Linked DNA regions of Oryctolagus cuniculus. The main gene of each other region encodes a partner of the protein of the gene in region 5 in a complex. Links are inferred from orthologs where the notes say so. Each region holds a gene or a part of one and is shown on either strand. Other genes may lie near its edges. The genes, in order: CEP290, AHI1, B9D2, TMEM17, TMEM216, TMEM107 and CC2D2A.

Region 1 (4,623 bases), on a different chromosome or scaffold from region 5:
ATCCATAATTCATTTATTTAATAAATACTTATTGAAAATGCTTGACATTTTCCTGGAGCTAGATATAAAATAGGAAATCAGAAATAACTCACCCATTTTTACAAAGTTAACAGATAAAAGAAATAGGACTAGAACTTAATCTGTCTGATTCCAGAGCCCTACTTTCTAATCCTTTCTTCAGTACTGAAGTATTTCCAACTTTATCTGGCTTCTTTAGCATATGACCTCATCTCCAACTTCTCATCTTATACTTACTTAACCTACACATATAACAATCTGTACACAATCACTCTTCCTTCCTTCCCAATACAATGAAAAGGGGTCTCCCTGCATTCAAAGGCTAAGCGCTTTGTATCACGTTAATTCCTTCCTTCTCCAGAATCTTCATATATTTACCTCTTCCAACAGTGTTCATATTTTAACCCCTGGATTTGCAAAAACTATGTTTTCTACCATATCCTTCTATCACTATTCCTCAAATCTCCACTCTTCCCCACTCTACCTTAAATACAAACTTCTCTTTCTCTAGATTGTAAACTATCCAGCTATTAACTGTTTTTATTTTGTTCCCAATTAGTTCCCTAATCCTTACAAGAATTTATGGCACATAAAAGGCACACAGAATATGTATTACACAGAAATGAGAACAAAGTTATCCTTGTAATTTTTCCAGTCAAAAGTAATTAAAATAGCTGAAAATAACTCAAAATAATAAAAAGTAATGACAATTACACCCCAGGGAATACAAAAGGACATACCTCCAATTCATTTTCCAGTTTCATTACTTTAGTTTTTAATTGATTTTCTATTAAAAAAAAAAAGAGAAGTGTTTTAATTAATTATGGTGACCTCAAACAAACTAATAAATAAATCAATTCTTTGAAAAGATCCCACCATGATTTCAAGGTGACATAAGAGAAAGTGACTATTATATAACAGATCCAAACTAGAACTTTTAGAAATGTCTTTCTCAATAGATTAAATATAAACATTTTATACAATATATTAAATTTATCTTTATACTCTTTAATGAATAAATGGAGTTATTTAACACTACAATAAACTTTTTACAAGGCACTTACCAAATTTTGCTTGTTCTTCTCCAGCTTTTTCAACTTCTTCCAAAGCTAGCTCTACTTCCTGAGCTTTCATCTAAACAAAATAATCATTTCAATATGCCTTTATGCTATAGGTAAACATTGAGAACAAAGGTTTTGTTTAATTTGCTGTCTTCATCCCTAATGCCTACAATAATTTATATATGAAGACATGCAGTAAATATTTGTTGAATGAACAAATGAATGATTCTCTTACTTAAGGCTACAATTTCTAAATTTTTAAGTTGGAAATACCTTTGATTCTTCCGTTTCCCACAAGTTTTATAGCCAGTGTGACTTTTCCACCCTTTTTGCTATTCCAATAACTATTTTTCTAGCCCATAATTTTATGTATAAAGCTCCTTCATAATGTTACATCTAAATAGCCCCAATTACTTTCAGTCTCCCTCGTGTAACATACCCAGTTTCACATTCCAAAGGTATATTTTTACATCAATCATGGCTCAAAAATTTAATTTACTCCCCAACTGCTGATAACATAAAATAAATCTTTAAGGCTGTCCAAAGCCCAACCCAAACTATCGACCCAATTTGTTTTATTCTATAATCTGCTACAAACCTTCTACACCTGTGTCTTCAAGTGTGAAGCGTAAGTTATTTGTGGAAAGCACTCCAGCTCTAGAACTCCCTTACCATATCTTACCACTGCCTTCCACTTACCTAAAACTCTTCCTCAGTTTTTGTCCTCCATGAAGTCGTCTTACTCCCATCTTAAACCATTTCTACCCTTGACAAAATTTCTGTAGCAGTTAATGTCCGCATGTTTTCATTTGTGCCTCAGAATATGTGCCTCTATGTTATTTTTAAACATACCATTTCTGTTTTCCATACATATTCTTTTAGGAATTGTAGAGTAAACACCATCAATGTTTTACACTCTATTTGTATTCCATTCTTATTTGAAGATACCTCATCCTTGAGCACTGATCCCAACATTACCACATGCTTTCACAGAGATTATTTTAGAAAAGATTCTTAAATTTCCTCTAATGGTCAAGGTACTATTAAGATCTACTGCATACAAACCTTCATTAGTGACTGAGTAATCCTGAAAAGATGAACCACATTTTCTTGACTTTCATTTCTTAGCTCATTTACTTCCACCTAAATGCACAGAAAATCAACCATTTTATAAGTTTTCAGAAACAAGAACTCTTCCAGTTGTACAATTCAATGATTTTAGGGACAACTTAAATTAATCGAAGTTGCATGTATACTCATATATCTATGTATTATTTATCAATTAAGCACCTTGGACAAGGAAACCAATAAATTATCTGCCAGTTCTTCTTGCCGAGGCAGGTCATCTGGGTCAACTTTCATTATTTCTTTCCAGTTTATATTAGGTGGCATCTTGAATTCTTTCACTGTGTTCCACCTTCTGTAACAAAACAGGCGGTTATTAGCATTTCATTGTAAACAGCATTATTGCAGTCGCCACAAAGCGTCAGATATTGTACTGGCTAAATAAAATACGACAGCTTCCTTGCTGAAACTAATCCAGGTCAGGACTGATTTGGGCCCCCTCTTCCAAGCCCTTTACCGACAATGCAGACAGAACAAAGCTGTTTGGTTTGCAAAACTGAAAATGACCCCTAATTCTGAGTGGTAGAAACTGGGAGTTAAAAAAATGCAGAAATAAACGACCGAAACAAGTAAAGCTGTACCAGGGAAACCGGGACTAGAGCAGAGAAGGCAGAAGGATTGCGGACTAGAGATGAGGAGGGGCGGGGTAGCTTGGGTGTTGCATATGGGCCCTGAGGCTAAAGAACCTGCTAGTGAAGAGACGCTGTTCCGTCTGCAATGATCCATCCACCTAGACCAATCCTGACAGCCAGCGGTGGTCCCTCATCTATCGAACCACCTAGCGGAACCCCACCCGGCTCCCGATTGCTGCCTAGCGCGGTTCCACGCGAACTCTTAGTCCCGCCAACTAGCTCCCAGCAGGCAAAGGCGGCGTCGGCTACTAGGCGACACCATTCCCCACCCAGCCCAGACTGAAACAAAGCCCCGGATGCAAGAAAGCCTACATTTCACGACTGTGGTTGATGCTTTACGTCTAGATTTCCCCGCCAAACTCCCTGAACACAGGGTTAAGGACCAAGACAAGGCTTGAGACAAAGACTTCAACTCCCAGGATGCAATTCTGCCTTGAGACTTTTGCATGCTGGGAATTGAAGTCTCTGAGGAAGGGAGGCGGGGCATTCCCGGTGTGCAGTGCGGCAGGCTGCGACCCTACCCGGGAGGCGGAGGAAGAGCCGGGAGGCGGGAGGCGCCGTGGCTGAGGTGTGCCGGCGCTGGTGGCCTGAACGAGGTAAACCATGACTGTGGCTTCGGTGGCGTCACTCTTTGGGCCTCCCTTCCTGAGGTTTCCTTGAGCCATCTCCCTGGTGGAAACGCTCCTGGGTAAGGTCGGGCTGTAGGGCACAGACTGGGGAGGGAAGGAGGGGAGCGGTCCCGGTTTAAACAAGCTCCTACCCTTGGGGCCGAAGGGCTGGACCAGGGTCTAAAGAGGTGGGAAAGCCCCATCTCCTCCTTGGGCCTTGGCAGGCGGCACCCAGCAGCTTGCCTTCCGCTAGAAGGAAAGCTTGTGTTAGCCTTGTTTGGTGTTAGCATTGTGTTGGTACGCGGGGCGCAGACCGCGCAGCCCAGATCACGGTTTGGGGGCGAGGGGAGACTTGAGGAGGGGACAGCACCTTCCCGATCCCGCTGGCCTCAGGCAGCACCCTTGCATTGCCGCCGCGGATTGGAGATGCGTGAGCGTAGAGACAGGGCTCTAGAGAGAGCAGGTTAGTACTTGCCCGGACCGCTGCTGGGGTGGAGAGAAGGCGTCCTGCCGCGGTCGCTTGCTTGGTCACTGAGGGTGGTCTTCTGTGAACCCGCTTGGCAGGTGTTTGCCGCTCTGATTCGTGCAAGCTGTGCTCTTCTTGCTGTTCTGAGCCGTTCTGGTTAGGATACAGCGTTGGTCAACTCTAGCCGTAGACTGAAAATCTACATGACGTTTCCAGCTAACTGGACCACTGCCTCTCATCTTCGTCTTTTGTTCTTTAAACTCCTGTGTGGTTTTGATTTTTTTGTTTGTTTGCTATCATAGACAGTAAATTTTCCATTTAAAAATAAGTACGATTTCTTTCTTCATCTTTTGGGCGGGGGAAGGGGTGGTTTTTTTCTCCCTCCAGACTTAGATTTCTTTTTAAACCACGTGTTTGGGTGAAAAAAGAATAACTCCTTAGGAAGTAAAAACATACTCATTTTGTGGGATACATTTAAAGACGTTTATTAGATTTATGGGAGTGATAATTTTGTTTTCTCTTTTTAGGAAGGATTTTATGTCAAATATCATTTACCATTTCAGTTAATCTTCACAACTGTCCAATAAAATATGTGCATATTGTTCTCATTTTCCATACAAGTTTAGAGACTGGCTGGGAGAGGTTAAGTCCTGTGCTCCGACTTAAATGCTGGAGTGTGATTAAACACAGATGGAGGACATATTCTTAACTAC
Region 2 (3,968 bases), on a different chromosome or scaffold from region 5:
TGTCCCTTTATATAAATCTTTTAAAAAATAAAAACTTAAATAAAAGTATACCTCAAGCATAAAAGGATATTTATTTAAAGCCTCTGGTTTCTTTTGGTTCTGCTGGGTAAGATGACACAGAGTAAGTCTAAAAAAAGATAAACTATTGCAAATTTGAAGATATTAATTCCTAAGTTCTTCATAACTCTGGGTTAAAAACTGTGAAGTTATTTTAAAAAATGTTTAATAAGGCTAGGCTTGAGCTTCCCTATTATTCCTGGTCACTCTCACCAGTGTGGCTATGTTGTTCTGGTAGGACAGCATTCAAGGTTAAAATACTCCAAAATAATGCTGCTGATTCTAATGTGATATCTAATATAATATAATATTTTATTCACGTGTTGTTGACCATGATACAGAGTTGCAGTTTTCAACTTGCAAAATTCCTTAGAATTTTGATACAAAACTCTTAATTTCAGGATGATATAAAAGTCACCATGACCAAATGATCAATTACTCACTGAAATGTTTTCTTTAGATTTGGCAAGTTTTTTCTTCAGTCTTTTTCTTTCACGGATTAGATCATTGTGGGTCTTAAGCAATTCTTCAAAGCGTACTTTGGTTTTTACTTTGGCTTCACTCTCAACTACAAAACAACAAAGACTCAATCATTTCTCTAAACAGCCCCAAACACAAACCTGAATTATGGTAAGAAATACAGTCTTATAAATAGCTGTGTACATTCTCTAGCTCCATTACAACAACTGACCTGTATCTTTTTTTAAAAATACTTTTTCTTTTGGCTTTGGCTATAACACACACCTGTATTCCTACTAACTTTTTGGCCCTACCTTATCTCCTTTGCTAACATTTTACTTATAATGCACAGCAGTGTCTACGACTGTTAGTTATGTGGCCTCAGAAATGTTAGTTAACTGAACTCCATTTTCCTTACCATAAAATCATAGTAATTCTGTAAATCATTCCGCATGAAAATGGTTATCAGTGGCCTACCCTGTAGTCGGCATTCAACAAATATTAAAAGTTATTTTTTCTTTAAAATATAAATCAGAGCTTGCTGTCCCCTGCTTGAAACTCTATGGAGTTCCCAATTCAGTTAGGATGAAAGAAAAGAAGGCCTTCACATGATCTACAAGATTCTGCCTTTCCCTGCAGCTTCTAATCAAGACCAATACCCTCTTAGATACCTGCATGCTGGCCACACTGCTATTCTTGTGGCTTCTCTCACAGAACAAGCCTCTTCCTGTGTGAAGGAGCTTCTGCCTGATGCATGATCCCTCTAACTCCCCTGGCTGGTGCTAAGTGGCCTGTTGCAACCTTGCCTTTAAAGTGGAACATTTCCTGACAACTTCATCCAAATTTTCCTGTTTCCAGTATATCAAGTTGTTCTTTTCCTTTATAGCACTTAACACAACTGAAAATTATGTAATTATTTTATGCTTACACAAATAAACTTATTATCTATCTTTCACACTATACTATGTGGTTTATATCTACATTCCTAGCTACTATCATGAGGTCTGGCAAAGAATACATATTTAATAAATATGTTTTAAAGAAATAAATACTAACTGAATGACTACCCCAGAGTAGGTGTTGGCAAACTGTGGCCTGCAGGCCAGTCAGTTGTTATTGTAAAGTTTTATCAAAACCAGACATGCTCATTTGGTTAAGAGTTATTACTGCTGCTTTTGTGGTTTAATGACAGAGTTCTGAGAGGAGAGCCCAAGCCTAAATATATAGTAGCTGGCCCTTTATAAAAAGTTTGCCAGTGGTGCCACAGCTCACTAGGCTAATCCTCTGCCTTGCGGGGCCAGCACACCGGGTTTTAGTCCCGGTTGGGGCACAGGATTCTGTCCCGGTTGCCCCTCTTCCTGGCCAGCTCTCTGCTGTGGCCAGGGAGTGCAGTGGAGGATGGCCCAAGTCCTTGGGCCCTGCACCCCATGGGAGACCAGGAGAAGTACCTGGCTCCTGCCATCAGATCAGCGCGGTGCGCCGGCCGCAGCGCACCGGCCGCGGCGGCCATTGGAGGGTGAACCAACGGCAAAAGGAAGACCTTTCTCTCTGTCTCTCTCTCTCACTGTCCACTCTGCCTGTCAAAAAAAAAAAAAAAAAAAAAAAAAAAGTTTGCCAATACCTGCTTTAGAGTGAAACATACAATTTTGATGAGAAAGAATAAAATTAACTATATTCTGGAATCATTATTTACCTTGTCTAGCAGTGTCCATAACTACCATTCCTAAATACATATGAACCTTAATCATCAATATTAAAAAGAAAACTGAATAGCAATTTATTAAATATCTCTAATACTCAGTCAATGACATCTATTTTATTCATTATTCTGTTAAAGAACCTCTTTAACCAAACTTTAAATGTGTAGAATATGAATCTTATAAATTTCATAAAGGTCTTACCAGCAGGCATATCTCAGCTTTATGGCAAGCATTAGGAAATAATGTAAAGCACTGACTCAATCAGGATCCTATTAAAACAAAGATTTATTTGTAATACAGAACTTCCAAAAAATATAAATAAAACACTCTTCAACCAAGATTATGCCACTGTACAAGTCCACTACTTCATGAAGTTTATACCAATAAAGCTATGCTCTCTTATTTCAATCTTATGCAAATGACCTGAGTACATCTGAATCTGTATAGTCTTAAAAGCATGTGACCCAAACTTGATCATATTTGAATAAAATGTTTCTATACTTAAAAAAGTTTTGAAAAGCAGTAAACGTGTCACTTGGTAAATTAATAAATTCTTAAAAGTGCTTTAATTAAAGATTTTAATGTGCTTTTAAGAAACCGAAACTCCATCTCCATTGCTCATTTCACAGAGCATACTCTATTATACTAGCAAAATACACTTGTGGGTAGCAATTCTCACAACTAATGAATTAAGTATCTCCGTAGGTGGAAATTTGAGAATCTATCACAGTAGGAAAGGCTAGCACAAACATTTGCACCTTCTTTTTGATTTAATTAACCTGGGCTACTAATGGATAAACGCAGTCTGTACATTCCTGAACTGTGATTTCATTTAAAGATGGGAATATGTATCTAAAATAAACAAACTGATTTGCATATTAGAATAGAACATGCAACTGTTGTTAAGAATGAAGTTGAAGATGATATAAAAAATATCTTGGGCTTCCTCAGGCATTATTAGTTAATACTGCAGTTCCCTGGGCATCCACATTCATGGTCCTCCAGCAGAAAGGTCTTGAGAACAAATGCTAAAAAGAAAAAGATTATTATAAAATCATACCTACTTATGGGAGTTAACTTATAACAACTACTTGTAGAAAGACAAGCTAGACATCATTAAAGCCACATAGTGAAAACTGCTACAAATTACTGATAGGGGTCTGTGTTTACTTGAATGACAGGTGGTCAACCACTTTCCAATCTACACTGAAAAGGCAAGTGCAATGATAGAATCACTAATTGATAGCATGTAAGTAGAAAAATTATAAAGCAAGTGAGAACTTCATTTCTGTACTATTCTATGGTCCTTCAATATACAAGAACACTACTGAATTATAAGTCATAAAAAAAAAAGGCTTGGATGTACTAGGTACAACCTGTTTTGAGCCGAAAATTTATGACACTTAAAAAAAAATTAGGTAGCTAATAAAGAGGCAGGAGAAATAATCAAGAAATATTCCTATGTGTATAAAGCAGAATAAGGACAGCAATATTACTGGCTGTATTATAGCGCAGTGTGGTAAACTGGCTGAAACCTAAGTTCTAGAATTAGTCTCCATGGTTACTTGTATGCCTGTGGACCATGGATCTCCTAAACCTTAAAACCAGCCTGCCTATTCAAAGGGTTGTTAAAAGGACTAAATGATTTAAACAGTACTTTAGAACAAGGACCAACAAATATGAGCTACAATTTTAACAGGAACTTCCTAAGGGGATTGTGTGGGGCAGTTTGAGCTGTGTATCTGAAGGACA
Region 3 (3,338 bases), on a different chromosome or scaffold from region 5:
CGCCTGGGATGTGAGCATCCTATGTAAGAGTGCCAGTTCAAGTCTCAGCTACTCCATGTCTGATCCAGCGCCTGGCTCCTGTGCCAGGGGAAACAGCGAGAGTGGTCCAAGTGCTGCCACCCCCGTGGGAGACCCAGAGGGAGTTCTGGGCTACTGGCTCCTCTGGCTGGCCCAGCCTGGGCTGTTGGGCCATTTGAGGAGTGAACCAGCAGAGGAAAGATCTCTTTCTCTTTCTCTTCTCTGTTGCTCTGCCTTTCAAATAAAATAAATATTTTTTGAAAAGAAAGAAAACAAAGATGATGCCAGCACCGGGGACTGGAAGCCAAAGAGTTGAAAGGACAGCTGCCTGCCTTACCCTCCATCACCCACATGGCAGCCAGGAGGCGCTCTCCCCTCCCCCCCCCCCCCTCTCCTTTTTAAATGTCTTTACTACCAGCCGGTGCCATGGCTCACTTGGCTAATCCTCCATCTGCGGCGCCGGCACCCAGGGTTCTAGTCCCGGTTGGGGCGCCGGATTCTGTCCCGGTTGCTCTGCTGTGGCCCGGGAGGGCAGTGGAGGATGGCCCAAGTGCTTGGGCCCTGCACCCCATGGGAGATCATGAGAAGCACCTGGCTCCTGCCTTCGGATCGGCGCACTAGCCATAGTGGCCATTTGGGGGGTGAACCAATGGAAGGAAGACCTTTCTCTCTCTCTCTCTCTCTCACTAACTCTGCCTGTCCAAAAAAAAAAAAAAAAAAAAAAATCTTTACTATTGAGCAAAGATACCACACAGAGTGCTCTCATCCTTCACTCCCCAGTGCCCACAAAATGGCTCAGACTGGGCCTTGCCTAGGCTGGACAGAAGGCTGGGAACGCAGTCTGGGCCTCTCCTGCTAGCCTCCCAGAGTGCGCCTTAGCAGGAAGTCGGAGCCGGGAACTGGAGCTGGTATCAAGCCCCGGCGCTGTATGGAATGCCGGCGTCTTAGCTGCTAGGTTAAATGCCAGCCCCAAAAAGATCCTTTAAACGTAAAACGTGCCTCAGCTCCTGGGGCTGTCACCCGCGCCCCCCACCCCCACCCCGCCACCCTCTCACTCTCCCTTAGTCCACAAAATGCCCTTTGAGCCTTCCACACCCAGCCCTCTTACATCCTGCTGCCTTATTAGCGCCTACCAGCTTTTCACGGCAAAGTTGCAATGTCCCCTCCAGGAAGCCCTCTCTGATCGCACTGACAAGGTGGGGCTCCTCCTGTGGGAGGAGGTTGCAGGTTGCCTTGCCCACCCTGGGCTGTGCCACCCACATGGCATGGTCAGCCGTCTGAGGACAGCAACAGGCACAGAGCGGGCTCTCAGGAGATGCCGGTTACATAGTGCTGGAATGGCACACTCCAGGGCCCCTGACACAGAGAAGGAAACACAGAGAGGGATCGCCCACCCAAGGGTTCACTCCTCAGATGCCAGCAACAGCGTGGGCTGGGCCAGAACAAAACCAGGAGCTTGGATCTCAATAGGGGTCTCCCATGCGAGTGGCCATTACCTGGTGCTCTCCAGGGTGCACACCAGCAGGAAGCTGGACCAGAAGTAGAGCTGGGGGCTGGCGCAGTGGCACAGTGGGTAAAGCCGCTGCCTGCAGTGCCAGTATCCCATATGGGCGCTGGTTGAGTCCTGCACCACTTCCGATCCAGCTCTCTGCTGTGGCCTGGGAAAGCAGTGGAAGATGGCCCAAGTGCTTGGGCCCTTGCACCCGAGTGGGAGACCTGGAAGAAGCTCCTGGCTCCTGGCTTTGGATCGGTGCAGCTCTGGCTGTTGTGGCCATCTGGGGAGTGAACCAGTGGATGGAAGACCTCTCTCTCTCTCTCTCTTCCTCTGCCTCTCTGTAACTCTGCCTTTTAAATAAATAAATCTTAAAAAAAAAAAAAAAAAGAAAGAAAAGAAAAAAAGAAGTAGCACTGGCACTCAAACCCACGACTGGATGTGGGGTGCAGGTATCCCAAGCAGCACCCAAACCTCAGAGCCAGGTGCCCACCCTGTGGCCCGCACTTTCCACCAGGTTTTCTGATGCCACTCCTCTCCTCCACTCTGCTGGTTTCCCCGTGAGCAGCACTCGTTCAAGGGAGGAGCCTTGCTGAAGCACAGCGGCCAGCCCTGGCCTCCCTGTCTCTAATTCACAGAGGCCCTCCCAGCTTCCCCCTTATTGAAGACCTGGTTTCTCTCTTTAAGGAAGGCTGCTTCCCTGTTCCTGGGAACCCACCTTCCCTGGCCTCCACCTCAGGCCCCCAGCCTGGGGTCCCCAACAGAGCCGGCCTGGGGAGGGTCAGCTCAGCCTCTGCAGGGCCAGGCGTGGCTAGGAAAGGGACCCACAAGGCTTGTTCCAGTCCCAGCAGCTTTGGGGCTACTGGCCGCCTCCCCTCAGCACACCCCGGGCTAAGGCCTGGAACCTACCTTGGAGACCTTTGGTGGCGAAGTGCAGGTCGATGGGGTGGGACCAGTAGGCCATGTCCCCTACCTGGGGGGTGTCCACCTGCGTTTGGCCCTCCCGCACACCTGACAGGAGCTTCCATGCTGCCCCTGTGGTGAGAGCCAGGACAGAGACAAGTGGGCAGGAGATGCCATTGTGGCTTCTCCCTGGCGTTTGTGGGTAGGGGTTACAAAGTGTGGACTCTGGAGCAAATGTTGACCTTCAAATCCTGCCACTACCTCTTCCTACTTGTACAACCCGGGGCAAGTTACCATTCTCTGCCTCAATCTCCCCATCTGTGAAAGGGGCAAACAAGACACATTCCTCAGAAGTCTGTGAGTGTGGGTGCCAGTTCAATCTCACTTTACTACCATCTCTCCCCCCTGGGGGTCCCCGAGGACTGAGATGGACTCATGGGCACCCAGTCCCTCTTGTGGGGCCAGATAACCGTGGGAAAATGCACCAAGGGATACACTGGGCTAAGTGCTTGGGCAGTGCCTTCTGCTGCCCGGCAGGACTCCTACCTCCCCCACGGCAGACTCTCCTGCGTGGCCCACAGGGCACCGCATGGCCTGGCACCTGCCCCCCTTTCTGAACTCACTGCCCGCACAGTCCCCTCCCACACCACCCGTGGGCCTCACTGGTCCCATTTCTGTATGTCTGTCCCCCTACCTCAGGGCCTTTGCACTGACTTCCCTGTTTGGAAAGTTCTGCTCCCAGAAGGCCCCATTCCCGGCTTTTTGCTCATCTTCTGGGCTCAGCTGAGGCGCCTCCTTTTCATTGCGGCTCTCTCTGACTGTCCTATCCAAAACTATCCCAGCACCCATTTCTTTTCCTTTTAAAAATATTTGTATCTAGTATTTGAGAGGTAGAGCGATAAACAGAGAGCTCCCACGCACAGGT
Region 4 (3,132 bases), on a different chromosome or scaffold from region 5:
TCTCCCATGGGGTGCAGGGCCCAAGTACTTGGGCCATCCTCCACTGCACTCCCTGGCCACAGCAGAGAGCTGGCCTGGAAGAGGGGCAACCGGGACAGAATCCGGCGCCCCGACCGGGACTAGAACCCGGTATGCCGGCACCGCAAGGCGGAGGATTAGCCTAGTGAGCTGCGGTGCAGGCCAAATACTTTGTTCTTAACCAAATTTCCTTAGCTAGGTTTCTCTCATCAACAACAGAACATGCCCTAAATGGATCATCATATGCTGGAGATATTGTGGCATAGCAGGTTAAACGGACAATTATAACCCCTGTATCCTGTATGAGTGCCAGAATGAGTCCTTACTGTTCTGCTTCTGATCTAGCTTCCTGCTAACGCACTTGGGAAGGCAGTGGATGATGGCCCATGTGCTTAGGCCCTTGTCACCCATGTGGGAAACCCAGATGGAATTCCTGGCTCCTAATTTTTGTCTGCCCCAGCCCTAGCTATTGAAACCATTTGAGGAGACATCCATCCAGTGGATGGAAGATCAATCTCTCTCTCTCTATCTCTTCCTCCTTCACTCTGCCTTTCAAATACATAATAAATCTTAAAAAAAAAAAATGAAGAGTGTGGTTCCTTTGGCCATCTTAGTTCTTGCTATATATATAAACAGACTGGTTTCCAAATAAAACTTCATGTTAATTTAATGGATATGAAGTAGTTCTTCAGTGAATATGATGAGTACATGAGAACACAAAATTAAATTTAATGTGCCTATTAGAGTGCTCATTACAAAGAAGGTTCTCTGAAATCTTTCCCCTTCCTTCTCCTGCATTTCTGTAGTGTGAAATAATAAACCCATAGTCCAAAAGATCTATATAAAACAGGAATTGTTTGTTGCTGATAGCTTACCATAAATATTTGATAATTTATTATGAAAACATTTTGCATACTGCCACACAAATACTGAACATGGTTTTATGAAAGTTATAATTCTTTGACAAAAATATTTCCTTAATACCATGATAATCTGTTTTCTTCTTTACATCAGTATACCTTCTAAGACTAGGGTTAGAAGTTAACCACAGCAAATACAAAAATTTTGTTTTTTGGTTTATAAATATGGTCTGATGCACAATAATATTGACCAGCATTTCCATGCACTTCAAGAAAAATGGTCTGATACACAGTCAAGATATGGATAACTGACACATTTAAAAGGTACACATTTCTGGTTACAGATCTGAAATGGAAATGTTACAGTAAAACTGGTAAACTTACAACTACCACGCAGAATTTTTCACACTCAAAAAGACCAACATCATCAAACAACAAAGAAATTTGGCATTAGGTGGACAGCATCTAAGTTTCAGTGTTCATACGCCGCTTTCATGCATGGCACAGCCTTATCACTGCCCCTGTCCTTGGGACTCAGAGCTTGAGAGTAAACACACTTCCCTTGTACCTTTCCTCATGCTAGGTCTCTGATGTTTTCCTAACTCTCGCAGTCTTCTAGAATCAACTTTGAGATTTTCATTCAGCAGCACTGGGTCAAATCTCTTCTATACATGACCTCATCCTTCTCATGTCTCCTCTGTTTGCAGAGAGCCGGTCAAAGTCTTGGAGGTGGAAACGAGTGGCCAACTGATTGACCATTTTCCTCAAGGTAAGAAATGCTGAAACAACTTGGAAAGTAAGGAAGATGGTGAAGATGATATGTATTGCTTTTTCCAAGGGCAGATTTGTTAGGCCTTCATTAAAAAGCAAGAAAAGAATTAAAGGCAACTGCAGCAGAAGGCTCAAAAGCCAAAAGCCAGCCAACTCAGGAACCTGCAATGACATGATGAGGAAAAGGATCAGGCCAATGCAGTGTTTTGCTTACACAGATAAACAAGGATTTAACACTACTAAGGATCTACATTATGGACTCTGAATAATTCAAAAGGAGGGTGATGTAGTCCTTCTCCTCAGAGAACCTACAGTATAGATCAGAAAACTAGCTTATATGAAACAGTCCTAGAATGCTAAAAACTTCATTGAATATTTAACTGCAGAATTTAGAGATATTGGACTAAGTGGTACAAGTAGTAACACAGTGATTGGTGTAAGTGAAAGAAAAACTATAAGGATGTAGGCTTTATTTATTCAAAAACTACTTATTTATTTTATTTGAGAAAAAGAGTTTGTGTTTGCTGGTTCACCCTCCAGATACTGGCAGGTCTGGACCAGGTGGAAGCCAAGAGCCAGGAATTCAATTCAGGTTCCCATGTGGTGGCAGGGACCTGCCCACCGTCTCCCAGGGTGAACATTAGCAGGAAGGTGAAATGAGGAGCACAGCCAGAACTCAAACTCAGGCACTCAGATACGGGATGTGAGTGGTTCAGCTGGTGTTGTGACTACTAGGCCAAATGCCTGCCCTGAGGATATAAACTTTGGAAGTTGTGCAAAAGGAGGAAGAGGCAAGAAGGTAAGTAAGCAAGCATGTGAAAGGAGCATGACTGGGAACCAACACATCAACCTGGAATGGAAGGCTGGGCTAAGAAATACCAAGCAAAACACTAAGATGGGCTGGGTGGAGCATCGTTATGAAAGGCCTAGAAAACCACAACCTCTTCAGGCATCCTTCCCACACCCTGGCAACCATAAATGCTTAGGCAGCGTAACGACTCAGAAAACACGGGCCTGGCTGAGGAAATTCGTTTATAACTCCCCTTTCTCTCCTGATTTCTCATTCAGGATCCAAATTAACATGGTCAATTGACCAAATATCTTTGAGACTGATAAGGAGAGAAGAACATTATCAATTCTTCAGTGCTTACTATATTCAGGGACTTGATATCAGTCATTTCACTTAATCCCAACAAGCCCGTGAAGTGTATTTTCCCCATCTTAAAGATGATGAAACCGGGGCTCAAGAGATTAAGCAAAGAGACCACGATAGCAGATGAGCAAAGCTGGAGCCAGGGACTAAATTCAGGCTTATGTCTTTCCACCACACCTCACTGCCTTTAACCTGTTATGAAAACCTTGATGCACTTTGATGCGGTGCTGAGAGAAAGGAAAACGGAACCTACCTTTTCCTGTAGGTTACCCATGTAGCCCAGATATAAACGAATTGCTTCAATTAAGGTTATCAGGACGATAACAGTGA
Region 5 (4,403 bases):
TCACTCCCCAAATGCTCACAGAAGTCAGGGCTGGGACAGGTTGAAGCCAGGAGCCCAGAACTCCTTCTGGTTCTCTTACATGGGTGTCAGGGACCCAAGTATTTTGAGCCGTCACCTGCTGCCTCCCAGGGTATGCTGGTTCTCCAACTCAGGCACTCTGAAATGGGATGCAGGCGTCCCAGGCAGTGTCTCACTGCCCCAGCAAACACCCACTCCAATTATAGATATGTTTGTAAGTACTTTTTATCACTTTATGGAAGTCTCTTATTTTTCTAGCTTACTAAAAGGCTTATGATTTGTTAAGTGTTTTCTCTATATCGATTGAGACAGCCATATGATTTTCCCCTTTATTCTGCTAAGGTGATAAATTACATTGATTTTTTTTTCAAAGGTATAACCAATCTTTGCTTCCTAGGGGAAAAAATCCACTTGGTTATGATATTGTGCATAAGAAGCTAATCTAGCAGCCTGAGACTCTATCCTTAGAAAGGCCAGTTTGCAAGGTTGACACTTGGCTGATGCTTGGGAACTGGGATTTTGGAAGGGCTCCTTGGGGACCAGTGTTGTGGCACAGTGAGTTAGGCCACTGCCTGCAGCACTGCATACCGTATGAGCACCAGTTCAAGTCTCAGCTGCTGCACCTCCCATCCAGCTCCCTGATAATGCATCTGGGGAGAGCAGCAGATGGTGGCCCAAGTGCTTGGGCCCCTGCACTCACATGGGAGACCCAGATGGAGTTCCAGGCTCTTAGCTTCAACTGACCCTGTCCCAGGCATTGTGGCCATTTGGGGAGTGAGTCAGCAGATGGAAGATCTCTTTCTTTTTTGTTTTTTTTTCTTTAGATTTATTTATTATTTATTTGAAAGTCAGAGTTACAGAGAGAGGAAAGGCAGAGAGAGAGAGAGAGAGAGAGAGAGAGAGAGAGAGAGAGGTCTTCATCTGCTGCTTCATTCCCCAGATGCCTGCAGCAGCCGGAACTGCGCCGATCCAAAGCCAGGAGCCTGGAGCTTCTTCTGGGTCCCCAATGTAGGTGCAGGGGCCCAAGGACTTGGGCCATCCTCCATTGCTTTTTCAGGCTATAGCAGAGAGCTGGATCAGAAGTGGAGCAGCCAGGACTTGAACTAGCACTCACAATGGATGCTGGCACTGCAGGTGGTGGCTTTACCCGCTACGCCACAGCACCAACCCCAGAAGATCGATCTCTCTCTCTCTCTCCACTCCCATCTCTATGTAATTCTGCCTTTCAAACAAATAAATCTTAAAAAAAAAAAAAAGTGGCTCACAGTGCCTAAACTGTACAAACAGTGTGGCTTCTGCTGAACACCCATTTTCCTTCTGGGAGTCTGGAATTTTGGGACACATTCTAGGCAGAGGGTGCCTATGTGATCACTTCCAAACAAAAAACCTTGGATTGAGTCTCCACTGAGCTTCCCTGGAGACATTTCATGTTTGTTCCCAGAACTGTTGCTGGTGGAATTAAGCACACCCTGTGTGATGCCACTGGGAGAAGGTTGTCAGACCCTTATTCCTGGTTTCCTCTGGACACCTTTTCCCTCTTCTGACTGTGTATTCTGTCACAGCTGTGAGGGCAACTGTATGCCAAGCCCCGCAAGTCCTCCTAGCAGATCATCAAGCCTGTGTGTGGTTTTGGGGACCCTTGACTCAGATGTTTTGCCTTTTATATATCACTGGATTTCACTTGCTGATATTTGGTTCAGGTGTTTGCAGTTTCACTTCCTTGTACAAACCTTGTAAAATTGAGCATCAAAGTTAAGTCGGGGAATGTGCAAGCAGCTGGTGCAGCAGTTAAGATGCCACTTGGGGGTCGGTGTTGGGGCAGTTAATTAAGTTGCTGCTTGGGATGCCCACATCCCACATTGGAGTGCTTGGGATTCAGTCCCACCTCCGCTTCTCATCCAGCTTCCTGCTGATGTATCTGGGAGGCATCAGTGATGGCCTGAGTGTTTCAGCTCCTGCCATCCGTGAGGGAGACATGGGTAGAGTTCCTGGCTCCTGGCTTCAGCCTAGCCCAGCACTGGCTGTTGCAAGCAGGCCAAAGCCAGGAGCTAGGAGCTTCTTCCAGGTCTCCTACATGGGTTCAGGGGCCCAAGGACTTGTGCCATCCTCTGTTGCTTTTCCAGACCATTAACAGGGAGCTGAATTGGAAGTGGAGCAGCTGGGACCTGAACCGGCACCCATATGGGATGCCAGCGTCACAGGCAATGGCTTTACCTGCTACACCACAATGCTGGCCCCTATATAGTTTGTTTGTTTGTTTGTTTTGACAGGCAGAGTGGACAGTGAGAGACAGAGAGAAAGGTCTTCCTTTTGCCGTTGGTTCACCGGCCGCCGTGGCCGGCACGCTGCGGCCGGCATGCTGCGGCTGGCACACCGCGCTGATCTGAAGGCAAGAGCCAGGTGCTTCTCCTGGTCTCCCACGGGGTGCAGGGCCCAAGCACTTGGGCCATCCTCCACTGCCTTCCCGGGCCAGAGCAGAGAGCTGGCCTGAAGAGCGGCAACCAGGACAGAATCCGTTGCCCCGACCGGGACAAGAACCCGGTGTGCTGGCGCCGCAAGGCGGAGGATTAGCCTATTGAGCTGCGGCGCCGGCCTAGTTTTATTTATTTTTTTTTAATGAATATTGAGGCTGATTTTGTGGCGTGGTAAAGCTACTGTCTGACACCGGCATCCATAAGGGTGCTGGTTTGTGTCCCAGCTCCTTGCTCATGTGCTCAGGAAAACAGAAGGTGGCCCAGTGCTTTGGGTCCTCTGCACCCACATGGGAGACCCCAGTGAAGCTCCTGGCTCCTGGCTTCAGCCTAGCCCAGCTGTGGATATTGCAGCCATTTGGAGAATGAACCGGCGGATGGAAGATTTTTCTGTCTCTCCCTCTTTCTCTGTAATTCTGCCTTTCAAATAAATGAAGAATCTTAAAAAAAAAAAAAAAAACTGAATTCTTAAGATATTTGTAGGAGTAGAAATGCAAGAAGGATTAGAATTTTAGAACACACGCCGGCGCTGCAGCTCACTAGGCTAATCCTCCACCTGTGGCGCCGGCACACCGGGTTCTAGTCCCGGTCAGGGCGCCGGATTCTGTCCCGGTTGCCCCTCTTCCAGGCCAGCTCTCTGCTGTGGCCAGGGAGTGCAGTGAGGATGGCCCAAGTCCTTGGGCCCTGCACCCCATGGGAGACCAGGAGAAGCACCTGGCTCCTGCCATCGGATCAGCACGGTGCGCCGGCCGCAGCGGCCATTGGAGGATGAACCAACGGCAAAGGAAGACTTTTCTCTCTGTCTCTCTCTCTCACTGTCCACTCTGCCTGTCAAAAAAAAAAAAAAAAAAATTTAGAACACACATTAGTTGTTTATGTAAAAGAGGTTTCATTTTCATTTTTCATTTTTTTTTTTGACAGGCAGAGTTAGACAGTGAGAGAGAGAGACAGAAAGGTTTTCCTTCCGTTGGTTCACCCCCTAAATGGCCACTATGGCCGGCACACTGCGCCGATATGAAGCCAGGAGCCAGGTGCTTCCTCCTGGTCTCCCATATAGAGTGCAGAGACCCAAGCACCTGGGCCATCCTCCACTGCACTCCCGGGCCACAGCAGAGAGCTGGACTGGAAGAGGAGCAACCGGGACAGAATCCGGCGCCCCAACTGGGACTAGAACCTGGGGTGCCGGCGCCGCAGGTGGAGGATTAGCTTAGTGAGCCGCAGTGCTGGCCTCATTTTCATTTTTCAATTAAGTTTCCTCTGTTTCTTTTTCTGTCTTCCCCAGAGCATTAAGTCATTATTACTACTCTCATGGATAAACCATTTCACTGTGTTGGACAGTCATTGTATCTTCACGGCATTATCACCTGTACTGTTTCACGGCAAAATTGTGCTCCACTCTGATTAGGAGAGCCCAGAGAAATCAGAGCACACAGCAGTCAGATGAGTGAATGCTAGAGGCTCAAGGATTCTTAAGAACTGATTTAGAGGTGCTGGCATGGTGGCACAGCAGGTAGAGCCACCGCCTGCCGTGCTGGCATCCCTTATGGGCGCTGGTTGTGTCCCAGCGGCTCCACTTCTGATCCAGCTCTCTTCTGGGAAAGCAGTGGAAGATGGCCCAAGTGCTTGGGCCCCAGCACCCACGCAAGAGACCCAGAGGAGGCTCCTGGCTCCTGGCCTCGGATTGGCACAGCTCTGGCTGATGTGGCCAGCTGGGGAGTGAACCAGCAGATGGAAGACTCTCTCTGCCTCTCCTTCTCTCTCTGTGTAACTCATTCAAGTAAACAAATACATCTGTTAAAACAAACAAACAATAAAAAAACTGATTTAGAAAAAAAAAGAAAAAAACAAAGAACTGATTTAGTAACATCCAGGTTTTTCCTGGCATACACCTATTTATTCATATTGTTGAAAGTG
Region 6 (4,442 bases), on a different chromosome or scaffold from region 5:
GGCCCCCTTCCAACATAAATACCCGAATCTCCAAACCAGACATCCCAGCCCCGAAGTGTAGAGGGTGGGATTGGAGGGGGGACTTCAAAGGACCACAGGATGTGGTCTTGGTGTCTCAAACATTCAGGGAAGAGCTGGATGGGGCGAGCCTTCCTCCCCACCCCCCAAGACTGGGTGCTAACCGCACCTGCAGAACACAAAAATGTACCAGTACGTGGTGCACTCCCAGCGCTCGAATATGAAGAACGACAGGGCTACAGATGCACTACAGTGCGCTGCGATGGCTTGTGGGCGACACACAGGAGTCAAGGAAAGTCTTGGGGCCACAACAGCGACGGGCTATGGCAGGCCAGTGGTGGAGCTCCCAGGCCTTGTGCGACGGCGGGAGTCAGCAGCCCTGCCTTCTGATTTTAACAGGCCCACGTGTAGCGGCCTGCGCTGAGCCTGCACTGCCGAGACCCCAGGCTACCCTCACCCCACATGGAGGGGCCAGCCTGCACCCCCGAGGGGAGGTCAGAGCAGGCCCCCATGGACCCCACAGGAATGCGGACAGCGACTTGATCCTCTCTGCTGGAATCACTCTCCACCAGGAGGCCCGCAACTGGAGAGTCAAGCGCCTCCCTCAATCCTTGGCTCTTTTACCCCCTCCTAGAGGATAGTGGGGTGTGTGTGTGTGTGTGTGTGTGTCTGCCTCCGCCTCACCCCCATTTACCTCCAGGGCCCGGTGCACAGCGGCATCCACAACTGTTTGAGGATTGTGTCAAATCCCTGCACTGCCTAAGCAGAGGCGGGGCTCCTGGGGGGAAGGGGGTCGCTGAAGGGAGTCGCGCTGGAAACGGGTCGTGGGGGCAGAAAGGATACAGATGAGGCTCTGGGTGCTGTTGAACATGGACACTCCTGAGAGGAAGCCGGCCAGCTCCACGGCAAAGAGGCCCAGGGTGACCGAGAGGGCGGCCACCAGCCTGCAGAGAGGAAGGGGAGCGGCTCAGGACCCCCGGCCTCCGGGACTCCCACCGCCTCTTCCTTCGAACCCCCACCCCCCCAAGAGCTCACTGCACGTCCTGCTTCTCATACTCCTCGGGGGTGAATCGGAGGGGCAGGCAGGCCTGGACGTTGCTGTCCTGGGGAGCGGGCAGAAAAGGAAAGGAAGTGAGAGAGGCCGGCTGAGACCCCGGGCGGGGTGGGCGCGGCGACCACGGCGAGATGGCGACGCGGAGTGGCGGCCGTGGGTCTTACCCGCGACCAGAATAAGGTGATGACGACCACCAGATGCGCCAGCAGCGTCAGGAAGCGGGAGGGCACGAGCCCCGAGATCCGGCTCATGCTCCTCAGGGCCGCGGGCGGCGGCGCTGGGAAACCTCTCCCGGCCCGCGGCCTTCGCGCGCCTCAGGGGCCGCCCCGTTGCCTTGGTAACTGCGTACGCGGACCGTGCGCCTCGGGTTCTGAAGATCTCGCGAGAGCCGTAAATTCTCGAGCCGCCGTCGTGCAAGTGCGCCGTGTTCGGGGACCCCGCTGCGGCCGCCAGCCTCCTAACCGGAGGACTACGTCCGGGGGTTCGCTGGCTGCTCAGGTCCGGAGCGGCGCGGCCCCAGGCTGCATTGCCGGGAATGGCCTGTCCGCGGAGGAGGTGCTCGCGGACTGCTGCGGCCGGCGTGCCGGTCTTAGGTTGGAGGCTCAGACGCGGTCTTCCCTTTCCGTCCTCGTAGCTTCCTTGTGCCCTGAGCCCAACGTGGAACGTTCACTGGACCTACCTTGTCCGGCAGGCCCGTTGTCACGGAGCCCTTGGTGGTCGGAGCACCCCAGACATCTTTGCCGGGTTCGGTGAGGGATTTGCATAGTGCAGAAGATGGTGGCAGCCTCAGCCTAGGGACGGCCCCGCCGGGACTGGACAGGGCGAGCGTGGACGAAGCGTCCCGCACAGGAGGTTTGGAGCTGCCTGGGACGCAAGGCTCAGCTCTGGTTCCGGGGTCTCCGAGGTACCGGCCGCACGGGCTCCAGGAAGACCCCTGCTGCTTGCGCACACCCAAGGGGCTTCCCTCCCCGCTTCTGAGGAGAGTAACCCCAGCCTTCAAGTCAGCCTGCACTGCAAAGCCTAGTGGTAGGCAGCCCAAAAGGAGGTGGAGCGTGGTCGCGGCAGGCCTTGCAGCCACCAGGCGCGACGTGGTCAGATTCGTATTCTCCACGACCCAGGTTGCAATATGGAGAGACTAACGAGGAAGCCATAGAAGTATCCAGAAAGGACAGGGTGAAGCAAAGACGATGGAGCAAAGCAGAAGGATTGGGGAGAGGGTCTGGCTCGGGGCCTGTGGGTGGGTGAGGAAAAGGGAGAGTCAAGGTGACCCAAGGATTTTGCGTTCAACAGCTGGAGGTTTGGAGCATTCTGCTCAGTAGGCGTTCTGCCTAGGAGACGGGCTAGACAGTACAAACCGAGTTCTCAGGTCCTTAGGTGTGGACTCATGAACAGGGAGTGGGCAGCCTATGTCTGCTTTGTCCTTGTCCACAACCTTGGTTTATAGAAACTTGCCTCAGAGAAAGTCGTTTCTTGCCTGGGTTTTAGAGCCTGCTGGTGGCCATGGGCTGTGCTGCGGGTGACCAGCTGTCCTCCCGTAGGTGGCCACTCACTCCAGGGCTGGATTCGGTATCTCAGCATTTGAATTGGTGACAAAAGAACTTGCAAACTTTTCATTTTTTGGCATCCTAGGAAATTTCAAACACAACGTAAAAATGAAACAGTATAACAAACCCCTGGGAGGGCCACTGCTCTGCCTCAACAGTTGTCAGCACGTGGTCAGCTTTGTTGCCCCCTCCCCTCCACCACAACCCCACACGTGTGCATTGGGGTACAAATAAAGTCCACTTGGCTGACATGTCTGAAATCTCTGTTAATCTTGGGTTTGCCCTCCTCCCCATCACCTCACCTTCCTTCTTTTCTTGCTGAAGATACTGGGCCACGTGTGGCGTCATTTCATTCTCTCCTGGCACTGTGTTTCCTGCAAACTGATGGTCAGGTCTAATGGTTGATCTATGTGTCATTCAGTTTTCTGGTAAGATCACATCCCGAGGGATGGTTTGTACTTTCTGTTCACCTCATCAGGAATCCTGCTTGTCTGTGTGTCTGTCTGTCTGTGGTGCTGAAGTCTGAGTGGTGGCTTCGGGTGCGGTCAGGCTGAGCCACCCGTGATAAAATTCTTCATCCATTCTCACCTAATGGTACCACGGGTCCTCATTGCCTAACTGCATGATTTCAATAGCGATTGCAAAATGGGGATGGCCTAATTCGAGCCCTCTTCTGCATCTACCAGCTAGAATTCTTTTATCAGTAAGAATTTTCCATGAGATACGAGTCATACAGGAAAGGCAGGATAAATGGGTCCTTTTTTTTTTTTTCCATTATTTGCCAGTTTTCAGAATCCCGGTTCAGTAGTGTCCTACAAACACAACTAGATCTTTTTAGTAGCATGGTGACCACATAGATTTTAACATCTTTTGTGTATTTCAATCTACCTTTTTTTTTTTTTATAACTAAAGAACATTTATTTTCCACTAAGAGTTTGCCTTGAGGATGTAACTAAACTGAGCCACCCCCCACCCCATCTCTAAGGGTTAGTACAGTGACTGTTATAAAGCAGATCTCAACAGTCTGAAGCTCTGGAACCAACATTAACTGACAAAAAAATTCCATCTAAATCCTCATAAAAATGTTTAAGTAAAAAAAAAAAAAAAGGGAAGAAAAAGAAAAGAAAAAAGGGGCAATGGGGGTTTCAGATTGAACAACATTCTCACACTTCATCTGATACATTCAATCTGGCTAGAGTGTACCAAGTGGAAACAGGATCACTATAATACAAAACTCCCACTACAGCACGCTGTACACACCTGTGTTCCAAGCCCACCCCCATCCCCCTACTGCTTCCACTCCATTATTTTCCCGCCTGTTGGGCCTGCCGGCGGAGGAGCACATAGATCTTCTCTTTGATCCAGTCTTTGTTATAAGGCTGGTATGTCTGGGTATCAGCCCGGTAAACAAGGCAGCTGAGGTCTGCCAGATCATCAATAAAATCAAACAACTGACTGATATCGTATGTGATAGACGGACTGTTGGGATTCATTCTTTTCAGATGTTCCTCATACATTTTACAAATACCTTCCATGCATTCATTCACAGATTCATAGTCAGCATAAGTTCTGCCTTCTGGCCTCTTGGTAGGCTGTACCAGCAAAATGGTATGAGACATCGCGCCAAACTCTTCTCTTTGCAGCCGCTGCCGACACCGCCGCCGCACACGAGCTTCTCATTCTACCTTTTTTTAAAAGATGCATTTATTTTATTTGAAAAGTGGAGTTACAGAGAGGAAGAGGCAGAGAAAGATCTTGCATCCACTCGTTAACTCCCCCAGATGGCCACAACAGCCAGGGCTGGGCCAGGCCGAAACCAGGAGCCG
Region 7 (4,646 bases), on a different chromosome or scaffold from region 5:
AATCATACGCCCTTTCTAACATCCATGCAATCCCAATCTTATCCAGGATTTGGTCATTTAAACAGCAAATTTGAGATGGTCAAGGGTTAGCTGACCCTCCTGGGGAATTAGCATGTTAAAGGCAAGTAAAGGATCTGAAATCCTATTGTCAACCACACAAAAAACCCAGAAGGAGGCCCTCCTTAACCTAGAGCTAACCGGGGGTCCACACTGAGAATGCAAATTCCAAAGGGCACAGAAACTGTCTCATAAATGACTCTGGTCGTTGTGAACGCAAAAAAAGAGTCCAGAAATACTTTAGTCACTAAAACACAGAAGAAAAATCACAAAGAAACAACAGAAGTCTAAAATGAAAAATGTAATGGGGTTGTTTTTTTCCCTTTCATTCTTTCCTGATCATTAACTTTGAATGAGATTCTAAGGAAATCAAATGACACCAAAATTTATTTTTGTTATGAACTCTGTTGCTAAGAAAAGATAAATCAATATTGCCCAGTGTTCATCCATGGCTTGCCTTCCTCACATGCACTGGGTGCTTGTTAATATATTCCTACTGGAAACATCAAAACAAGAGCTATGATTTACTGCACAGCTATTTTTGGGATCTTCCGATAAACGTTCTTTTTTGGTTCTCGCGGTAACACTCCGAGCTCAGCAACGCATGCCCCATTTATACACAAGGAAACTGAGGCTCTTGCAGACTCCATAGTTTGTACAAGGTCGTTGTTATGAAATGCCATGTTCAGAATTTGACCCCAAGACTCTAAGAGCCCAGAGTCCTCCCCCTTCCAGGCTACCGTGAATGATTGATTTCAAAAGAAAGCACGTTTTTAAAGGAAAAGTACTGATGCTTCCTCTGAACAAATGAACTAGTTCCAAGCATTGTCAGAGGGCCAGAGCCATACCTAGAGGGTCCTGTGAGTGGGGACTACTGTATGAAAGAAGAGGAAAGGAGAAACACGGTTCACAGAGCATTTCCACCTCGGCGCTTAAATCCAACACAGTCTGTGCCTCCTTCTGTCGAGCAGTGACACGATGGGTTTACAGAAGCATGTGAGGCCTTTACAAAGAGTTGTGTGGCCCTGAGTTCAAATTCCAGCCATGCCTTCACCTCCCTGAGACAGGCTCCTTCGCTGGTAAAATTGCGAACGTGTTCCAACCTCAAAGAGCAATCAGTTGTAAGGACTCAGTGGGAGGAAGTGAGTAGTAAAGTGTCTGTCAGCACTGGGCTCTAGGTAGGGTGAGGTGTCATTAGCAAGAAGAGGTGACAGTTGAAGGGAAAGGTGAAGAAAGGAGTGAGGAGGGAAAAGAGCTTGAGGGACAGAAAGCCCTGGGGTGACATGGGAGCCACTGTACTTACAGGCTTGACTTCCCACCTTCAGCCCTGGCTACCATAACCCACCCCTTCCCTCCAGTCAGGTCCAAGGCCATTGGTCTTCTGTTTCCATTTATGGTGCCTCTGAGAGGTCCTGCCCTATTCTCCGGAGCACGTTCTCCATCTCACCCTCAGAGCATTTGTCTGTCCCAGCCTGTTCCAGTGGGAACTCGGAAACCTGGGGAGGTGCCGCATGCACCCCTTTTGATTTCATTTTCTAACCCAATGAGTTATTCCAACCATGGCTCCCCTTAGTACCACGCTAGAGGCAGATAGCTTTACGGAATCATTTATCAGCTTGATATAGTATATACTGCCCTCAAAGAGCCCAAGTAAATGCCACATTTGAGCTGCCCTCGGTGGTATATGGCTAATGCATTGACCCGATATGCTAAGGACTCCCTAGGGGTCCCCAGGTGCTCTAAGCCCTTTAGACCCTTTTGTAAATCTCCTTTGTCACTTAGCTCATTGTAGTATGATCATCTGTTTATAGGGCTCTTTCCCCAGCAAGCTGGATTTCTGATCTGGTCTAATTTGTTTTCTCACACTCTAAACCTAAGCATGTTGTCTGGTACATTGTTAATGCTCAATAAATGTTTGAATCAACGACTCTGTAAATGTGCTGTAGGAGATCTGTCTGTCTATATCCATCTTTCTATGGAAAGAGATATTTCACACCAGTACTCAATTTATTTGCAGAAACTGTTCGTACAATGCAACAGCAGACCTGGATTTCCTGCTAGACTTCGTTAGTTTTTCATTGCATCCTTCTGCAGTGAAAGGAAACAATCTGTTTTAATTGCAGCCAGTGGATTTTCTAGCGGTCTTTTGGAAAGCAATGCAATCCGCAGCTCTGTGGTTAATCACCCCTTGCTTAAGGCCACTGAAGTTTGCACCTACAAGTACTTCTCCCCATGACCCACACAGAACGGAAAGGCCCAGAAATGCAACGTGCGGCAAAGGATTTGCTGAGTGCTGGTCTGGAGGCTGCGGGATCAGCCTGACTTAACACTTCCTGCATACCAGACGCCAGAAGGCAGCTTGAATCAAAACCACCCCAGTACTGCTCTACGTATTCCCGTCCCAGGAAGTAAAAATGTAAATAATGAAGAGATCCCCTGGACGGCCAGTTCATGAAATCTACTCTCAGGGTGCCCAGGGAGAGGCTGCACTCACTCGGAACCCATAACTGCAAACAGGAAAGCGTCACTGCTCCCGTTACGAACTGATTTACCTTACGTGCTTTACAAAAGGCACTTGGCTGCTTCCCGGAAGAGGAGGAAGGTGGAGAGAGATGGTCCTTGCTGTTGAATCCTCTGAGTGGCCGGAAGGGAAAGGCAGTGAGCTGGGGAGGCCCCGGGCTGCAGCCTGGGGAGCTGCAAGCCACGGCCCAGAGCAAAAACACCAGCTTAGCAACCCGTTCCTAGGGAAGGTCACTGGAGGCTTTTTTTTTTTTCTTTTAAAGTGACAGCTTATTTCTAGTAGTGGAAGGCAAGCCTCCCAGGAAAACGGAGGCAAAGAGAAACCAGCTTAGCGGGGAGCTGAGCAAAATGAGGGAAAACACTAGGAGTGCAGCTTCCTCTTGTCATCAGCTGGTCCTCCTGCATTTCATGTAAATGACAGGTGATGACAAGGATGGGGCAACTTAGACTCAGAGAAGGTCATCGTCACCTGATTCTGGAGGTGCCGCAGGCCACCAGCAAATACTGCGCTCAGCGACTTTCGGGCTAAACACGGAGGACTGACTGCACAGGTTTCATCTCTGCTTGTTCTCCGAATCCCACTGCAATCACTAAAAGGGGATTACATGTTACAGCTCAAAGCAGCAAAGGAAGTGGGAGAAGAGGCAAAGCAGGTGGCAGAGGAATTGGGCTGAGCAGGCCAAGGGAAGCCACATTCCAAGTGTACTTGTTTCTGTGTGTGTCTGCTCACGCCTAGGTCTCTCTCTCTCTCTCTCTCTCTCTCTGTATGTGTGTGCGCACTGGCTGTATTTTTTTGTTTTCTGTATTCTGGTTGCTCTGACATTTGGGACCTTGATCCTGGAGACAGCCTGCTGGAAACTCTACTTTCATATACAAACCAAGCAAGCGGGAGCCCCCCACACACCATCAACCTTTACCAACCTCTCACTTACCAGACCAGTGCTTCCCTGTCCTGACTCATCCCACGGCCAGGTAGCAGACACCCGAGAATACTTCCTGCAGCCCAGATCCCACCAGCATGGTTCAAACTCACTAAACTTAGCACACTTACCCTGCTTCTCCCATTCCTTCCTGGGAAAATCTCCAGAAAGACTCTGGCCCATCCTCTGCCTTTAGGGCTCCTGTGGGTGGCCTTGCATGGTGAGCCTTGGACAATCATTTGGGTGTATTGGAAACTTAACCCCAGTGCAACAGTGTGGAGGTGTTGGCCTGATGAGAGGTGATCAGCTCAGAGGTCTCTGTCCTTGGTGATTGGACTAATGCAGGTACAGGAGTGGGCTCATTACCACAGAGTGGTTTCCTTATGAAAGGATGGGTTTGGGGCCAGCGCTGTGGCGTAGTGGGTAAAGCTGCTGCCTGCAGTGCTGGCATCCCATATGGGCACCAGTTCAAGTCCCAGCTGCTCCACTTTCGATTCAGCTCTCTGCCTTGGCCTGGGAAAGCAGTGGGAGTTGGCCCAAGTCCTTGGGAGACCCAGAAGAAGCTCCTGGCTCCTGACTTTGAATGGACCTAGCTCTGGTTGCTGTGGCCATCTGGGGAGTAAACCAGCAGATAGAAGACCTCTCTCTCTCTCTCTCTCTCTCTCTCTCTCTCTCCCTCCCTCTGCCTCTCTGTAACTCTGCCTTTCAAATAAACAAATAAATCTTTTTTTTAAAAAAGGGAAAGGATGGGTTTTTCCTTCTCTCTTGCCCTTCTGTCTTCCTCCATGGGATAACACAACAAAAAGGCCCCTTCCAGACTCAGGTCCCTCAGCCCCGGCCTTCCTGGCCCCCAGAATGCCAAGAACCAATCCTCTCTCTTTTTTTATTTTTTGACAGGCAGAGTGGACAGTGAGAGAGAGAGACAGAGAGAAAGGTCTTCCTTTGCCCTTGGTTCACCCTCCAATGGCTACTGCGGCTGGCTCACCGCGCTGATCCGATGGCAGGAGCCAGGTGCTTCTCCTGGTCTCCCATGGGGTGCAGGGCCCAAGCACTTGGGCCATCCTCCACTGCACTCCCTGGCCACAGCAGAGAGCTGGCCTGGAAGAGGGGCAACTGGGACAGAATCCGGCGCCCCGACCGGGACTAGAA

What was found.
Region 1: TMEM216 (region 5) and CEP290 share a complex: the UniProt entries of both Homo sapiens proteins name them as parts of the tectonic-like complex. The link is inferred for Oryctolagus cuniculus from reciprocal best matches to the Homo sapiens genes TMEM216 and CEP290.
Region 2: TMEM216 (region 5) and AHI1 share a complex: the UniProt entries of both Homo sapiens proteins name them as parts of the tectonic-like complex. The link is inferred for Oryctolagus cuniculus from reciprocal best matches to the Homo sapiens genes TMEM216 and AHI1.
Region 3: TMEM216 (region 5) and B9D2 share a complex: the UniProt entries of both Homo sapiens proteins name them as parts of the tectonic-like complex. The link is inferred for Oryctolagus cuniculus from reciprocal best matches to the Homo sapiens genes TMEM216 and B9D2.
Region 4: TMEM216 (region 5) and TMEM17 share a complex: the UniProt entries of both Homo sapiens proteins name them as parts of the tectonic-like complex. The link is inferred for Oryctolagus cuniculus from reciprocal best matches to the Homo sapiens genes TMEM216 and TMEM17.
Region 6: TMEM216 (region 5) and TMEM107 share a complex: the UniProt entries of both Homo sapiens proteins name them as parts of the tectonic-like complex. The link is inferred for Oryctolagus cuniculus from reciprocal best matches to the Homo sapiens genes TMEM216 and TMEM107.
Region 7: TMEM216 (region 5) and CC2D2A share a complex: the UniProt entries of both Homo sapiens proteins name them as parts of the tectonic-like complex. The link is inferred for Oryctolagus cuniculus from reciprocal best matches to the Homo sapiens genes TMEM216 and CC2D2A.

What each region holds. Positions count from the first base shown.
Region 1 is NC_091442.1:90,803,887-90,808,509, forward strand, and holds the start of CEP290 (centrosomal protein of 290 kDa), read right to left. Parts: upstream 3,123-4,623; 5' UTR 2,786-3,122; intron 2,500-2,785; 5' UTR 2,472-2,499; coding exon 2,370-2,471; intron 2,223-2,369; coding exon 2,145-2,222; intron 1,153-2,144; coding exon 1,083-1,152; intron 806-1,082; coding exon 759-805; intron 1-758. UniProt on the Homo sapiens protein: Involved in early and late steps in cilia formation. Its association with CCP110 is required for inhibition of primary cilia formation by CCP110.
Region 2 is NC_091436.1:33,410,910-33,414,877, reverse strand, and holds part of AHI1 (jouberin), read right to left. Parts: intron 2,486-3,968; 5' UTR 2,428-2,485; coding exon 2,418-2,427; intron 626-2,417; coding exon 501-625; intron 1-500. UniProt on the Homo sapiens protein: Involved in vesicle trafficking and required for ciliogenesis, formation of primary non-motile cilium, and recruitment of RAB8A to the basal body of primary cilium.
Region 3 is NC_091449.1:13,272,979-13,276,316, reverse strand, and holds part of B9D2 (B9 domain-containing protein 2), read right to left. Parts: intron 2,546-3,338; coding exon 2,420-2,545; intron 1-2,419. UniProt on the Homo sapiens protein: Component of the tectonic-like complex, a complex localized at the transition zone of primary cilia and acting as a barrier that prevents diffusion of transmembrane proteins between the cilia and plasma membranes.
Region 4 is NC_091433.1:140,426,257-140,429,388, reverse strand, and holds the end of TMEM17 (transmembrane protein 17), read right to left. Parts: coding exon 3,056-3,132; intron 1,812-3,055; coding exon 1,533-1,811; 3' UTR 875-1,532; downstream 1-874. UniProt on the Homo sapiens protein: Transmembrane component of the tectonic-like complex, a complex localized at the transition zone of primary cilia and acting as a barrier that prevents diffusion of transmembrane proteins between the cilia and plasma membranes.
Region 5 is NC_091432.1:10,788,764-10,793,166, forward strand, and holds the start of TMEM216 (transmembrane protein 216), read right to left. Parts: upstream 3,040-4,403; 5' UTR 1-3,039. UniProt on the Homo sapiens protein: Part of the tectonic-like complex which is required for tissue-specific ciliogenesis and may regulate ciliary membrane composition.
Region 6 is NC_091448.1:52,666,887-52,671,328, forward strand, and holds the start of TMEM107 (transmembrane protein 107), read right to left. Parts: upstream 3,144-4,442; 5' UTR 2,919-3,143; intron 2,698-2,918; 5' UTR 1,324-2,697; coding exon 1,237-1,323; intron 1,122-1,236; coding exon 1,059-1,121; coding exon of another isoform or gene 1,054-1,058; intron 963-1,053; coding exon 862-962; intron 293-861; coding exon 188-292; intron 1-187. UniProt on the Homo sapiens protein: Plays a role in cilia formation and embryonic patterning. Requires for normal Sonic hedgehog (Shh) signaling in the neural tube and acts in combination with GLI2 and GLI3 to pattern ventral and intermediate neuronal cell types.
Region 7 is NC_091433.1:10,481,990-10,486,635, reverse strand, and holds the start of CC2D2A (coiled-coil and C2 domain-containing protein 2A), read right to left. Parts: upstream 2,949-4,646; 5' UTR 2,610-2,948; intron 1-2,609. UniProt on the Homo sapiens protein: Component of the tectonic-like complex, a complex localized at the transition zone of primary cilia and acting as a barrier that prevents diffusion of transmembrane proteins between the cilia and plasma membranes.